Linked DNA regions of Astyanax mexicanus. The protein of the gene in region 2 interacts with the protein of the main gene of each other region in a biochemical or structural test. Links are inferred from orthologs where the notes say so. Each region holds a gene or a part of one and is shown on either strand. Other genes may lie near its edges.

What was found. The genes of interacting proteins can lie anywhere in the genome.
Region 1: the proteins of gabbr2 (region 2) and kctd12.1 form a complex in vitro, tested with the Homo sapiens proteins (2 studies listed by BioGRID). The link is inferred for Astyanax mexicanus from reciprocal best matches to the Homo sapiens genes GABBR2 and KCTD12.

Annotation. Positions count from the first base shown.
Region 1 is NC_064418.1:28,739,489-28,746,964, forward strand, and holds the start of kctd12.1 (BTB/POZ domain-containing protein KCTD12.1), read left to right. Parts: upstream 1-4,469; 5' UTR 4,470-5,707; coding exon 5,708-6,556; 3' UTR 6,557-7,476. Other genes in the region: acod1 (cis-aconitate decarboxylase), read right to left, coding at 446-607, 775-786. UniProt on the Homo sapiens protein: Auxiliary subunit of GABA-B receptors that determine the pharmacology and kinetics of the receptor response. Increases agonist potency and markedly alter the G-protein signaling of the receptors by accelerating onset and promoting desensitization.
Region 2 is NC_064410.1:47,770,193-47,777,272, forward strand, and holds the start of gabbr2 (gamma-aminobutyric acid type B receptor subunit 2), read right to left. Parts: upstream 3,049-7,080; 5' UTR 2,125-3,048; coding exon 1,855-2,124; intron 1-1,854. UniProt on the Homo sapiens protein: Component of a heterodimeric G-protein coupled receptor for GABA, formed by GABBR1 and GABBR2. Within the heterodimeric GABA receptor, only GABBR1 seems to bind agonists, while GABBR2 mediates coupling to G proteins.

The sequences.
Region 1 (7,476 bases), on a different chromosome or scaffold from region 2:
AACATTGTTGTTTTATTCTATAAACTACAGACAGCATTCTCCCAAATTCCAAACAAGAATATTGTCATTTAAATATTAGCATTTATTTGCAGAAAATGAGAAATGGCAGAAATAACAAAAAATATGCAAAGCTTTCAGAAATCAATATTTGGTTAAATAACCCTGGTTTTTAATCACAGTTTTTATGCATCTTGGCATGTTTTCATCCACCAGTCTTACACACTGCTTTTGGAAAATGTATGCCACTCCTGGAGCAAAACTTCAAGCAGTTCAGTTTGGTTTGATGATTTGTAATCATCCATCTTCCTTTTGATTACATTCCAGAGGTTTTCAATTTGGTAAAATCAAAGAAACTCATCATTTTTAGATGGGCTCTTATTTTTTTTCCAGAGCTGTATGTTAAAATCTGTTAATACTACTAAAAGGTGCAGTGCTGAAGTGTTACCTTGCCATGCTGAAGAACCACATTAAAGACTGGGCTGCTGGTTCCTAGTAACCCGACCCCCAGTGTGTCCAGCATCATCCTCTTGCTTCTCCTGATAACTCCATCTGTCAGATGAGCTGCATTCAGCGATGACACAGCTGCACCGAAGCTCTCTGTAACACTCTGTAAAACAACCAAAAGTAATTTTTTTAAAAGTCCAAACTAAAGACTACTTTCATCCATCAGAGCTTTTTTTTATTAAATGAAGCCTGATTCAGGGATATATATTTTAAAGCTGCAAATTAAAGTGGTATATTTGTAAATATCTGTTCAAAAATATCTGTTTATACCTTTCGCAGCATTGTGTACTCAAACAGCTGAGCTGTTACTGTGAGGTCTGACAACTCTGCTGCCATTATATACAGAGCTGCCCCTATAAGAACTGCCTCACCAACTTTCCAAAGTGAGCAAACCACAAAAAAACACAGCGCATGCATCAGAGAAGTACACTATTGCACAATGACACCATATAGCTGACCACTTAAGAAGATGTTTTTCCTTACACACATTTGCACAAACATGCAATTAAACTGAGAAAAAATGAAAATAAAAGCATGTAGCACAATACATTGTTGTTTTATGTGTAGTGTAATTATACATACAAAAATTCATTAAAATCATTCGTTTTTGTCTTTATTTGCTCATTGAGAATTCCTGAGACCAAATACAGTGTATAGCTGAAACGTACATAATGTTTTTATTTCATACTTAATTAATAAATGTATCATATTTTTTCAGTATAATTAAGTTCATAGAAAAGCTGCATAGATTTAAGCCTTAAAGGGTAACTAAACTCGCTGATTTTAGCTGACTCCGCCCTTTGAAAACTGGTAGTTTGGGGGGGCACTGGGTGATGTATGGGTTTAGGGGTGGGGCAGGAGGAAGAGCTGATTGGGCTGAGTGCTGTGCCTCCGATAGTGGTGAGAAATGGTTAGACGTCACCACGGGAGTGGTATTATTGTTGTTTCAATTGCATATTGTGTCTGTCCAAGAACCAAAGTATGCAAAAACATAATCCTCACTTATAGCACAGTTAAACCTGAGAGGGGTGTTATAGAGGCTTAATAAAATAATAAAAGAGGCTCAATAAAAATGATTTTTAAAGTTTAGGAAAAGTTTATACAATTTTTAAGCAGCTTTTGTACGTTTCATTACTTCAGAGGAACACATTTCAATTATTAATTTAAAAAAAATGGTTTAGGGTTTAGTGCCTCTTTATCTCCAAGCCTTATTTTCATTTGCAATAAATTGTATGTGCGCATTTAAGAAATTGATTATATAACAGTATTATCAGGCTAAAAAAATTAAACATTGTGTGGGAGCCATAGGAAAAAGTGAATTGGAAAAATACTTCATGTGGAAATGAGCCATTTAACTGGGTTTATTCAGCTTAAATAAATGCTTTGAACGAACCATTGTTTGATGCAAAGTATTAAATCGAGTCTAATTTGAAGAAAAAAACTCAGTTCATTTGCTTTCATGTGACGTAATTATGTTTATTTAATTAACAAACTGTGTTGAACATCAAGAACATAAAGAAGAAGACTTAAGTAAGTGTATGTATATGTGTGTGTGTGTCTAAAACTATTTCTTAAGAGGTTCTGTGGTCTATAAAACCGCACACATGAGGGTTACATTAACCATGTCCACATGAAACACATCCTCACATGGTACATTTTGCAATACACAATATTCTCAGTTCACTGTCTGCCACATGTGGAAGTAGGGTCTGGAATTTTCAGAAATTGATGATGTGTGGAAATGAAACAGAACATATGGGTGTGAGATCTACATTAGTACAACAATGAAATTGTTCTGCTATTTTCACTGTTCTCATAAAAAATGATGAACTGGGAGTTTGTGATTAGCTGAGTGAAAATGAAAGTTGGTTTGATATTACACAATACTATATTGTGAAAGGAAAAAAATGCCTGTTGAACTGTGTGACTATAGAAGAGAACAAGCAATTTAAAATAACTTTTGTCTACACTGTGGAATTTACATTGGAAGTCATTTAAATCAGTTGTGTACTTACAAATTTAAGTTGAATTGACATTTTAATTGGCAATGGGCTGATTATCAGCTGATTAATTGCATTAATTGCAAAGTGTGTTTGGAAAACACAGGGAAAATATTAGAAACTCCAGACAGAAATATTTATATAAAGGACAATACCAAAAATATCAGTTAGCATTGTTAATAAAAATGTAGCCCCTTCTACATGCCAGAAATTACCCGGACATAATCTATATGCCCTGGCATAAACACAGGTGGTTTAATGTTTCTTTGATGTTGGGGACACTTTGGGCAAAGCCATTACATTCTAAGAGAAGAAAGATACTTTATCTGTTAAACATAATGGTGGCTCATTTTTGACAGAAGCAAATGTCTATACTAAAATTTAATCTTGCAGCTTCTATATGTAAAGATATATACAGCTCTGGAAAAAAAAAAATAAGAGACCACTTAAAATTATGAGTTTCTTTGATTTTACATAATTAAAAACCTCTGGAATATAATCAAGAAGAATATGGATGATCACAAGCCATCAAACCAAGCTGAACTGAATGTATGCATCAGCAGTGGCATAAAGTTATCCAAAAGCAGTGTGTAAGACTGGTGGAGGAGAACATGCCAAGATGCATATAAACTGTGTAAAAAACAGGGATATTCCAAAAATATTGATTTCTGAACTCTTAAAACTTTATGAATATTAACTTGTTTTTTTTGCATTATTTGAGGTCTGAAAGCTCTGCCATTTCTCATTTTCTGCCAATAAATGCCCTAAATGACAATATTTGTTTGTTTGTAATTTAGGAGAAATGTCAGTAGTTTACAGAATAAAACAACAACATTCATTTTACTCAAACATATACCTATAAATAGCAAAATCAGAAAAAACTAATTCAGAAACTAAAGTGGTCTCCTATTTTTTCCAGAGCTGTATATTATCTTGAGTATCACATTTTGAAAATCGCATTAAAACAGTTAATTAATTTGATTAAACTCCCAGCTCTAGCTTGGTCATGCTGGTCATACTGTACAGCCAGCTTGATTATGTTTAACATTCTTAGGTTGATTATCTTTATAGCTTGATATAGATATCTAGAAAGATACAGCTCAATATGAGGAGTCTATCTGCTAGCATATGTATAGGCATGTACACATATTTTTTGCTTACAATGGGTAAGTTGTTGCACTAGAAAATATGAGGCATTTTAGACATAGTAATAGCAGCAGAATTAACATTAAATCTTAAAGTATATGTAAACATACCCTATGTATGAGCTAAGATGACCAACAACCTAAACCAGCTTGACTAAGGTACTGACCAAAGCATGCTTTAGACTTAAATATAAATTATACTACTTAAAAACATAATTTAACCTAATAATGCACCCCTTTACACTCTTTTCTGAGATCAGCAAAAGAAGAAGGCTATTTAGTTTTGCTTTCATTTCCTTAGTGGCCACATTATATGAAGAAAGAGAAGTGAGGCCTGACCTTAGTGGGATAAAAAGGAGTAACTGAAATTTCACAACTTTCAAGAAGCGGGCATAATAATTTTGTGTCCGTTTTTTAAATGTTTGTGAAAATTGTGAAATACTTCACACTTAGCAGCAGGTGGCGCTCTAACCTTGCAGATCTGCCTAATGTTTGCACACTGCCTGCGCAGCCTGTGGAGAAAAGGCTGTGGAGACAGTGCTCCAGGAGCTTTACTAGAAACTAACATAACATTGATGAAAGTGTTCAGAGAGACACACAGCGTTAGAACAGCTGTATTTATTCATGGTGTGTTTGACTGACGCTGTGTTTGATACTGTGATAGAGAAAGGGGGACTGTGTGAGAGAAGAGGTCTATAGAGTCAGGAGACCCTGAGCTAAAGAGAACCTTGAGCCTCCAGCTGCAGGTCCTTAAGTGAACTCAGTAAAGGGAACTGACTAACGACTAGACTATCATCTCCCATCACTGCCCATCATCATCCACAGCAGCAGCAACAGAAGCAGCAGGAACAGAAGAAGCAGGCTAGCAGGAGGAAGAGGAGGAGCAGGAGAAACAGAATAGCGGGAAGAGCAGCAGTAGGATAAGCAACCGCAAGGGGAGCAGGAGAAGTAGGAGAGCAGGAGGAGTAGAGAAAGCAGGAGCAGTAAAAGCAGGAAGAGCAGAAGAAGCAGGCTGGCAGCAGGAGCAGCAGCAGGAATAGAAGAAGTAGGCGAGTATGAGCATAATGGGCAGAAAAAGCAGGAGCAGGTGAAACCAGCTAGTATAAGCAGGGGGTGCATGAAAAGCAGAGGAAGCAAGAGGAACAAGGCAGCAGGCTAACAGGAGCAACAGGAGGCTATAAGGAGCAGGAGAAGCAAGCTAGCAGGAACAGGAGAAGATGATGAAGCAGGAGCAGAAGAAGCAGAATCAGGAGAAGCATAGAAAGCAGAAGAAGCAAGAGCTGCAGGCTAACAAGAGCAGGAGGAGCAGGCTGGCAGGAGCAGGAGAAGCACAGGAAGCAGGAGTAGCAGAGGAGGCAGGAGAAGCAGTCTAGCAGGACTACAAGAGGCAGAGGAAGCAGGAGGAGCAAGACCAGCAAGCTAACAGGAGCAGCAGGAACATAGGAAACATGAGCAGGAGGAGCAGGCTAGAATAAGCAGGAGGTGCATGGAAAGCAGAGGAAGCAAGAGGAGCAAGAGCAGCAGGTTAACAAGAGCAGCAGGAGAAGGCTGGGAGGAGCAGGATATGCAGACGAAGCAGGGGCAGCAGAGGAAGCAGAAGCAGGAGGAGCATAGGAAGTAGGAGCAGGAGAAGCAAGAGCAGCAGGCAAGGAGGAGCTGCAGGAGGAGCGTAGGAAGCAGGAGCAGGAGAAGTAAGAGCACCAGGCAAGGAGGAGCAGCAGGAGGAAGCGTAAGCAGTAGGAGCATAGGAAGCAGGCTAGGAGGAGCAGGAGAAGCAGGCTGCATTCTCCTCCCATTCCCCTCTTTCTCTCTCTCTGCGCTCTCTGTTTAAACACCCCTCCTCTCCCCCTCCCCCCATCTTCATCATCTTCACTGTGTTGAGTATTGAGGGAGGGGAGGGTGAGAGAAAGACCCTCAGCAGCCCCTCAGCCGCTCAGCAGATGCAGCTCAGCAGCAGCAGCAGGTTTTGAGCTGTTCGGTGCTGGAGTCGCGTGCGCACTTGGATACGGGAAGCTAGGATACTACTGGGAGAGTACTGGGACAGCTGGAGGAGCAGAGATGGCTCTAGCGGACCCGGACCGCGGCGTGACCAACGGAGGAGACTCTCCAGCCCCGTTCTCTGAGATCATCGAGCTGAACGTGGGCGGTCAGGTGTACGTGACCAGGCACAGAACTTTGGTGTCGGTTCCGGACTCTCTGCTCTGGAGCATGTTCAGTAAGAAGACGCCCCGCGAGCTCGCGCGGGACAGCAAGGGGCGCTTCTTCCTGGACAGGGACGGTTTCCTCTTCCGCTACATCCTGGACTACCTGCGGGACCTGAACCTCGTGCTGCCCGACTACTTCCCGGAGAAGAGCCGCCTGCAGCGCGAGGCGGAATTCTTCCAGCTGCGCGAGCTCTCCAAGCGCCTGAGCCCCCGAGTCAGCAAGGAGAACTCCATCAGCGAGGACCTGTCCCACATCAGCAGCGACTGGGACGAGGCTCCCGGCCCGGGGGGCGCCTTGCTGCCCCCCTCCACCTCCCCGTCTCCCTCCCAGGAGAACAAGAAGTCCTGCGGCTACATCACGGTGGGCTACCGGGGGTCCTACACTATCGGGCGCGACATCCAGACCGACGCCAAGTTCAGGCGCGTGGCTCGGATCACCGTCTGCGGAAAAACCTCCCTGGCCAAGGAGGTGTTCGGGGAGACCCTCAACGAGAGCCGAGACCCCGACAGACCCCCGGAGCGCTACACCTCGCGCTACTACCTCAAGTACAACTTCCTCGAGCAGGCGTTCGACAAACTCACCGAGTTCGGGTTCCGCATGGTCGCGTGCAGCTCCACGGGCACCTGCGCGTACTCCAGCAACGAGCCCAGCGAGGACAAGGTCTGGACCAGTTACACAGAATACGTGTTCTGTAGAGACTGAGACTCAACACTGGCACTGCTGTAAATAATAGCCTATAGAAATAATACTAAAAAAAAAAAACAGTCACTCACAGACTGCAGCTTATATAGCTCCCTCACATCTGTAGAGTAACATCTGTCCAGATGTTGTTTAGACAGCTTTACATTTCTTTATACTTAAGGTGACAGTTTCACAAACCTGATCAAAGAAAATCCAGCTGATAATCCAGAAAAAAATCAAATATATGCCTGCTCAAGAGATAGATAAAGAACATACCCAGCATACACACACAAACATACAAAGCTGTATGTTTGTATGTTTTTTTGTACCAGTAAACATTATAAACATTATCATCAACAGAATATGTGTCAAGAACTTGATGATCCTAAATTGTCTGGCTTTCAAATGAAAAAAAGTATAATTAAAATATATATTGTTTATTAGTACAGTGATGACGAATGTACATTTTGCCTGCTTAAATGGTACAAGTGTGTACTTTCTGATGTTAGGAAAGACTTTGTACTTCAGAGGGAACACATCTGACCCTGTAAAGACCAATATTATACCTCTGATGGTACAATTATGAAAAGTGTACCTTTAAGTACCTCTGTTTTTTAGTGTGCAGCATAATGTATGTTTTCTCTGGCTAACCAGCTGGATTTTTTTATCAGGACATTGTTTAAAAAATATTCTGCATAGTTCATAATTAACTCGTCAATCAGAGTGGGTTGGTATGAAATGGTCTGTGCAGTATAAAATTCTCATGTTGTTGTTGGTGGTGGTCATTCAAACATGATTTAACATATCTCCAATAGGCTACAATGGTCAGGAATGCACCGAATGTCTGCTAGAATGGTAAAATGTTAAAGAGTTCAATAAATATTTTTTCATTATAAGACCAAAAAATGCATTTACGCTATTTAATTTTTGTGAAGATGATA
Region 2 (7,080 bases):
AATATCAGGGCCCTCAGAATTCTACCAGTGAAGCATAGAGCTACTTTGGGCTTGTTAATGGTGTAAAAATAGCAATTTCTAGCAATCTCTTGCATTGTAAGCCCGATGAGAGCATTGGCTAAAAGCGATGTATTTCGGAATAGTTGAGATGAATGGAGGATCGCTATTTGACAAAAGTTGAAACTCTTTATCACGTTTCACTACACCCCAAGTCCATTTCATGCTGAATTACCTACAGTATTTAACTCTACTCGACTTGACATCTGTTTCATTTTCTACTATCACATCCCCCACTCCCACAAATGTAGCTGGTGATGACATCAACACCTTTACTACCCTTATCAGTGGTGAGATATGTGATGACACAATAACAATGAAAACTGTTGAAGAGATCCTGTTCCTGTTTTGTATCGTTTAAACTGACAATTCTCTCTGACCAATTAGCAATCTCTTCCTTTTTCACAAAGTCCAAATTTTACAGCAAAAAACTTCAAAAGTGCGTTTTAATGGTCCAAAACATTTTAAGTGCAAGCTTGTGCAATTATCTGTGCAAATATATGGTGGATCATCAATTGAAGCATCCAATTCTGTTTACGTTCACAAAGAACCACAAATATATAGCTTCCCTTGGTAGTAAGCACTTGTACGCACGATGTAAATTAAAGTGAGTAAATGCAGATAAAACTATAAAGTTGTGAGCCTGGTTTACAGAACACAGATGGCAAAATATGTGTTGAATTTGGTGTAAAGGTTCCATTACATAAAATCCACTTTTTCCATCCCAAAACAAAACAATACTGAAATGTCCTTTAGATCTTTAGTCTGTTCTAAAAAGTGTAGAGTTGAGCACCATAAGTCTTCCACACTGCTCTTTAGGATCCTGAGCATTTAGTTTGAGCCTTAATGTGTCCAGGCTGCAATTACATTCCAATTCCTGTATATCCTTGGAGGAGCTGTAAAAGCTAAGGTCAGATGCAGCCAGAGAAACCCTAACAAATGACTGCCATCTTCAGGTGTAAAGGAAACCAAGCACATCTACACATCCAGGTGAGGAGAGAGGAAAGCTCAGTTCTTGTTTTTTATATGTGAGGAGCATAAAATAAGACTTATAGAATATGTGTGAAGGAACGTAGGGGTGTAGGTTGATGAATATGCTTGTTATGCTTAATCAATCAATCCATATATTATTATTGGTATTTACAATACCAATATACAATATATTTGGAAAAGTGCTTGGACCCCTATAATAGCATCATGCTGCCTTTCCCAGCTGACTGAGCAGCCAGTGTGTTTACCGCACTATGGAAACTGCTGCATAATGTATTGCTGCTATAGGAATAACACAGCCTTGAATTTTGCATTAGCATTCAAATACGGGGCTTCTGATTGGATGCTGGTTCTGCTACTACTGTAAAGTGCTACTGTAGTCAGTCAACTACAGGCTGATCTATGATGTGAGCTCTACCTGTCTATAATGAGCATAATGAGCAGGGAGGCGGTGGGTGACGGTGTCACGAGCTGTGTGCACGTGGGATGGGTGGTGAAGAAGGGGGGTTGCTTTATTTTTGTACTATATAACACCTGATTGGAGGGGGCATATGAATATGATCGTATTTGGATTGTTTTGATGCTTTGAGGGGGGCTTCAAGACAAAATAGACAGACGTAGCGCACGAGCTACATTGCAACACTGCGTCCTTACGACCATTTATGTATGCATTTACACGCATTTACGATCCTGGCTGGATCTGTGGGATACGCACACTCTCTGGGATACGCCACAACACGCGCGTACGCACACTCACGCACACACACACACAAGACACGACCCTGAAACAAACACTCTCCCACGTACCTCAGTGTCGTAGATCTTGGTGATGAGAGAGAAGGCGTACTTGCGGGATTCGCGGATGTGGCGGATGGCGAGCTGCACCGCGGGCTCGATGCCCTGGCTGATGCTGCTCATCAGCGCAGACTCGTTCATGGGCATGAGCACCATGATGGGCACGTCCCTGGCCGACCACGCTGCGTCCACGCTGTGGCCGGTGTAGTCGTTGCACACCTTGGCCGTGGCCAGGGTCGCCAGGAGCAGGCAGCTGGAGGCGAGGAGCAGGGACGGAGCCATGCCGCTGCCACTGCCGCTGCCACTGCCGCTTCAGCCGCTACTGATGCTGCCGCTGCTGTCTAGGCTGATGATGATGCTGAGGCTGGTGCTGGTGCTGGTGCTGATGCTGCTGCCGCCGCCGTGCGCGCGCGCGCAGGGGAGGAGGATGGGGGTGAGCTTAAGGAGCCGCGCCGGACTCAGCGCGCGGGCATTGCGATGCTCTGAGAGGAGAAGCTGAGGGGTCTGGAGAGAGAGAGAGAGAGAGAGAGAGAGAGGGAGGAGGAGGAGGGAAGAGGAGAAGAGGAGGAAGAAGAGGAGGAGGAGGGTGGCACGGGGGTATAGGTGCTCGTAGGCGCGCTGGCGGTAGAGTCGGAAGAGTGATGATGATGAAGGTAGCTTTAATTCCACAGGAGAGGAGGATGAGGAGGAGAAGGAAGAAGAAGAAGAATATATATAGGGAAGGAGAGTTTCCCCCTACCCCCTCCGCGTGCCACTCCGGTGCCCGTGCAGCTCCGGTCCCGTGTGTGTGTATATATATAATGTTGTACTTTCCTCTGCTCGCACGCGACCCCCTTCCCCGTTTAATCCGTGCGAAGTTGCGAAGCGCGAGTCAATGTCGCTCCGTGAGCGAGAGAGCCACTGAGGCAAGGATGCAGCGGGTCCAGCGCGCAAGAGCGAAAGCACGAAAGCGCGAGCCCGGAATCCCCTCTCTCTCTCGCGCGCGCGCAGGTTAGCTCGCACCTCCAGAAAGGCGAATATTATACAAAGTCCGCGGGAAGCTCAGCGTACAGTCCTGACGCACAATTCCCCAAATGATGATGAAGAAGAGCTGAGGAGGAGGAAGATGATAAGGAGGAAGAGCGGCCTGCCTGCACGCGCTGCTTCTGCTGCTTCTGCTGCTGCGGAGAGCGCGCGCCTGAGTGGCTCAGAAAAAAACACGAGGGAGGGAGGGGGAGAGAGAGAGAGAGAGAGAGAGAGAGAGAGAGAGCAGAGTGTGCGCGCATAAAATAAAGAAGGAGAGAGAGAGAGAGAGAGACAGAGAGACAGAGAGAGAGGTAGAGAAGTAGGAAGAGAGCTTAGAAAAGAGAGAGAGCTCAGAAAAGAGAGAGAGAGCACACATAGAGGGAGAGAGAGAGCAGGCAGAGTGTGCGCATAAAATAGAGAAGGAGAGAGAGAGAGAGAGAGAGAGAGAGATGAAAACAGAGGGATGCAGAGTGAGCGCAAGAAGGATAGGTGGAGAGAGAGAGAGAGAGAGGTAGAGAAGTAGGAAGAGAGCTTAGGGATAGGTGAAGAGAGAGAGAGATCAGAAAGAGAGCGAGAGCTCAGAAAATAGAGAGAGAGAAGTGCACGCGCAAGATTGTTGATGTAACAGTCTCGTGCAAGCTACCTATCTAACGTCTCCTAGATGCTATGAAAGTCACATTTAAACAAAATGATGGATGCAAGCATTAGCGTGGTTTAGTTTGCAAGACTTGTGTTTTGATTTAAAGCAGATATTCACTGAGCGAGATTCACTGTCTCTTTCAGAGAATATTATGTAAGGAAAAGGTGTTCCTGAGCATCTGATATGCAGAGATTAGGTTGCAGGAAATTGCACATAAATCGTTCTGCAGTCCAGCACTACACTTCCATTCCAATAAACAGTGCCACCTAGCAATACAGCAATGCCAAATGATATTGATGGGCTGCACCTTTTGCTTTTACATTGTTCTGCATTAGGATCATGTAATTCAGCAGTGGGAGATTATCTCTTTTATCTCTTTTTGGAAGTTCAGAGTCAGGGTGCTGTCCGTGGTCCTGATCTGGCTGCACCAGATGTATATGTACTCAAACAGTATCTATTGACTGCTGGAATGAAGGAAGGATGATAAAAAGTAAATAAATTAAAATTATAGAAATTAACAACTAGTAGTGCAATTCTCCTTTAAATAAGCACTTTTATGTTTTCTGGGTACCTGGAGAAGTGCCCTATACAGCACTGCATCCTTTTTTCAGACAGGGCATCCCTTTTGGACACTGTCTGGTAGGGATGGCATAGAAGACACTCTGTAACTGCACCTTCTTCTATTGAAATGGTAAAAGTCCATCCATAGATGGACACTTATTAAGATGCATTATTAAATATTATTGCTCTATAGGGCACGTCATTATAAGTTATTGTAAGACAGCCATAGTAGGGACTTTATTACATCGCCATAAGAGAAGCAGCCACTAGGGCACTTTGTTAATGCCACTCTAGAGGGCACTTCAGTAACACTTTTTTTAACCATAAAAATAATGTAAAATTTTGACTGTGAATATGCAATGTGCAATAAGCAGTATTATATTGACAAATCAATTTTACATCAACGTCTCAATAAAGGCATCTCCCTTAACATGCATTCACATACCAGTAGAGAACAATGGTCCAATATAGATATTGGTCAATAGTTTGGACACCCCGGCACACCGGTCACCGCTCCAGTACTGTGTGTGTATGGAGGAGCTATTGGATAAACTAGATATTATTGGTCAAACATTTGGACTCCCCGCATGTCCAGAGCAACCTAGCATACATAAGCGCTCTCAAAAGTTTGGACACCCCGGCACGCCAGCCCATGCATCCAGACCAGTCTAGCGACCATAGCCATGCTCAAACTTTGGACACCCCCAACAGCTTAGCAATCACCTAGCAACACTTCAGCAACCAGCTAGCAACCGCTTAGCAAGACAATAGCAACCAGCAGATGCACCAAAGCAACCAGCCATGAATCAACACTGCAATTATACTCAAAGTTTCGGCAGGAACTACAATCTTGTCACATGAACAGTTCCTTTCACATACAGTATAGACAGATAAAAAAAACTGGGTTCTAGGGAACCACTCATATAACACAGTCCTTATCAGGTGGATCCATCGAGCACTGGAGTTTTCACACAGCAAATCTAGCCAGAACTCATTCTGCCCACTGCAGACTGTGAGCTGCTAATACAATGCAGTATTCATCAGATGTCTGCACGCTCGAGTGTCTCCCATTGTACCGTGGTTTTATACTAAGTCCATCTGAAATCTGACAAAAGCGAGATCCGTGACTCAGCACTGAAGCGTATTGTCTGTGTGAAATGATAAATGCTCATCCACTTGTCCAATAGAATTTGATCTAATAGACCAGAATGACCAGAAGCTGATGCACATGTGTGTTAATGTACTGTGGGAGTGTGCATTTGGTTTTGAATGGCATTTTTCTTTTTGCTAGAGGCTGTAAAATCATAACAATAACTCATTAACTGATTGCATGTCAGGCCTTAATAAGTCATCATACTTCCATTCATCCAGCCATCCATCCATCTTCCTGTCTGCTTCAGGGTTGGTCAGGGTCAAGATGGGCTCAGCAGTACCTAGGATCATCGACTGCAGGCATACACAGCTTCTACAGTGTACCACAATTACTCATTCACTCAGGTCTAGGGGCAAGTTAGAATAGGCAGTTGATCTACAGACACGGGGGGAATTTACCTAACTCCTTTCAGACAGTGAACAGAGCCAGGATTGAACCTACAACCCCAGATGCCCAGTGTCCGGAGCTGCTGCACTACTGCACCACCCGTCACTGTACTTTATTCATTTATTTTTCCAGTTGTTTGATTCTTTTTCTTTTTCCTAATATCAGGCATGGGCTAGAGGGAGGAAAGGGGCCTCAACACTGAGCGGTAAAGCAGTGGAACTGTGTACTCTTGAATGATGGTGCTCTGTCTAATACTTTTGGGATGAGTTGGACAGTTGGTGACAAGGTGGGTATAGGGGTTGGAGATCAATAAGCATGCTCTAGACAGTGAATGTATTCAAATTTCTCAGCAATGCTCCAAATTCTAATAGAAAGCCTTTCCTGGACAGTAGACAGCTGCTTAAAAAAAGATCTCAAAAGAAACCATAAATAAGTAGGGGCAGGGGCATCGCCTGGACTGGGCTTCCGGGGCTTTAGCCCCGAATAATTTTCCAGCAGCCCCGAATCGTTTCGCTCAGCTCAGCTGTATTATTACTGAAGAGACAGACCACTAGCCGTGCGAGAATGATAAAACTCTTCATTCTAATCACAGAGCCAGTTCATGGATAAAGTTTCACCTTTTAGGAGAAACAACCAATCAGCTTGCTGGTTTTGCGGAGCGTGGTGGGCTAGTAGGGAAGCCCCCCATAGACATCATAGAAGTTTCTGTCTGTGTATACGAACAATTCTTGCCATATGCCACTGGTCATGATTATTACTACTCACTGAACTGTTCACTGTAAGTCATATTATAAATATATATATATATATATATATATATATATATATATATATATATATATATATATATATATATATATATATATATATATATATGAGATATATATATGGTTAATATATATGATTTATATGATGTATAAATCTCTCAGTACAAAGAAGACACTGCGGATTAAATAATGTTAAAAGCTTGCACAACTGAAATGGAAATGGAATGTCGCATCCATCCAGCACCTCCTATCAGGCCTCACTTAAGCTCTAATACTTCCCATCACTTTGCCATGATAATGCTGGCCAGTGTTGAATCTTGTTCACAAGATAACACCTCACAACTTATGCAGGCGTGGGCTTTTTCCAAGCCACCTCCTGAGGTAACACATCATTATGCTTTCTCAGTACTTCAGGTATGTCAGTGTATACAGTATGTATTATATGGATTCCCTTATATATTTGTAACAGGCTAAATATGAAAACAATCTTTGAGCAATCTTTCTGCCAATAATACACATGTAGACACGCCCACACCAGCAAACAGACAAACAGATACACACTTACACACACACACCTACAGGCTTGTCTGACATGTCTGTGCTTAATAGAGATTAATAGGACAGCCCAAGGATATCCTTCAGTGCACCTCTGACAATGCATTCCTGCTGGATGCAGTCAGAATTTTGATCATCAAATATTCAAAACAGCACGAATGAAAAATTAA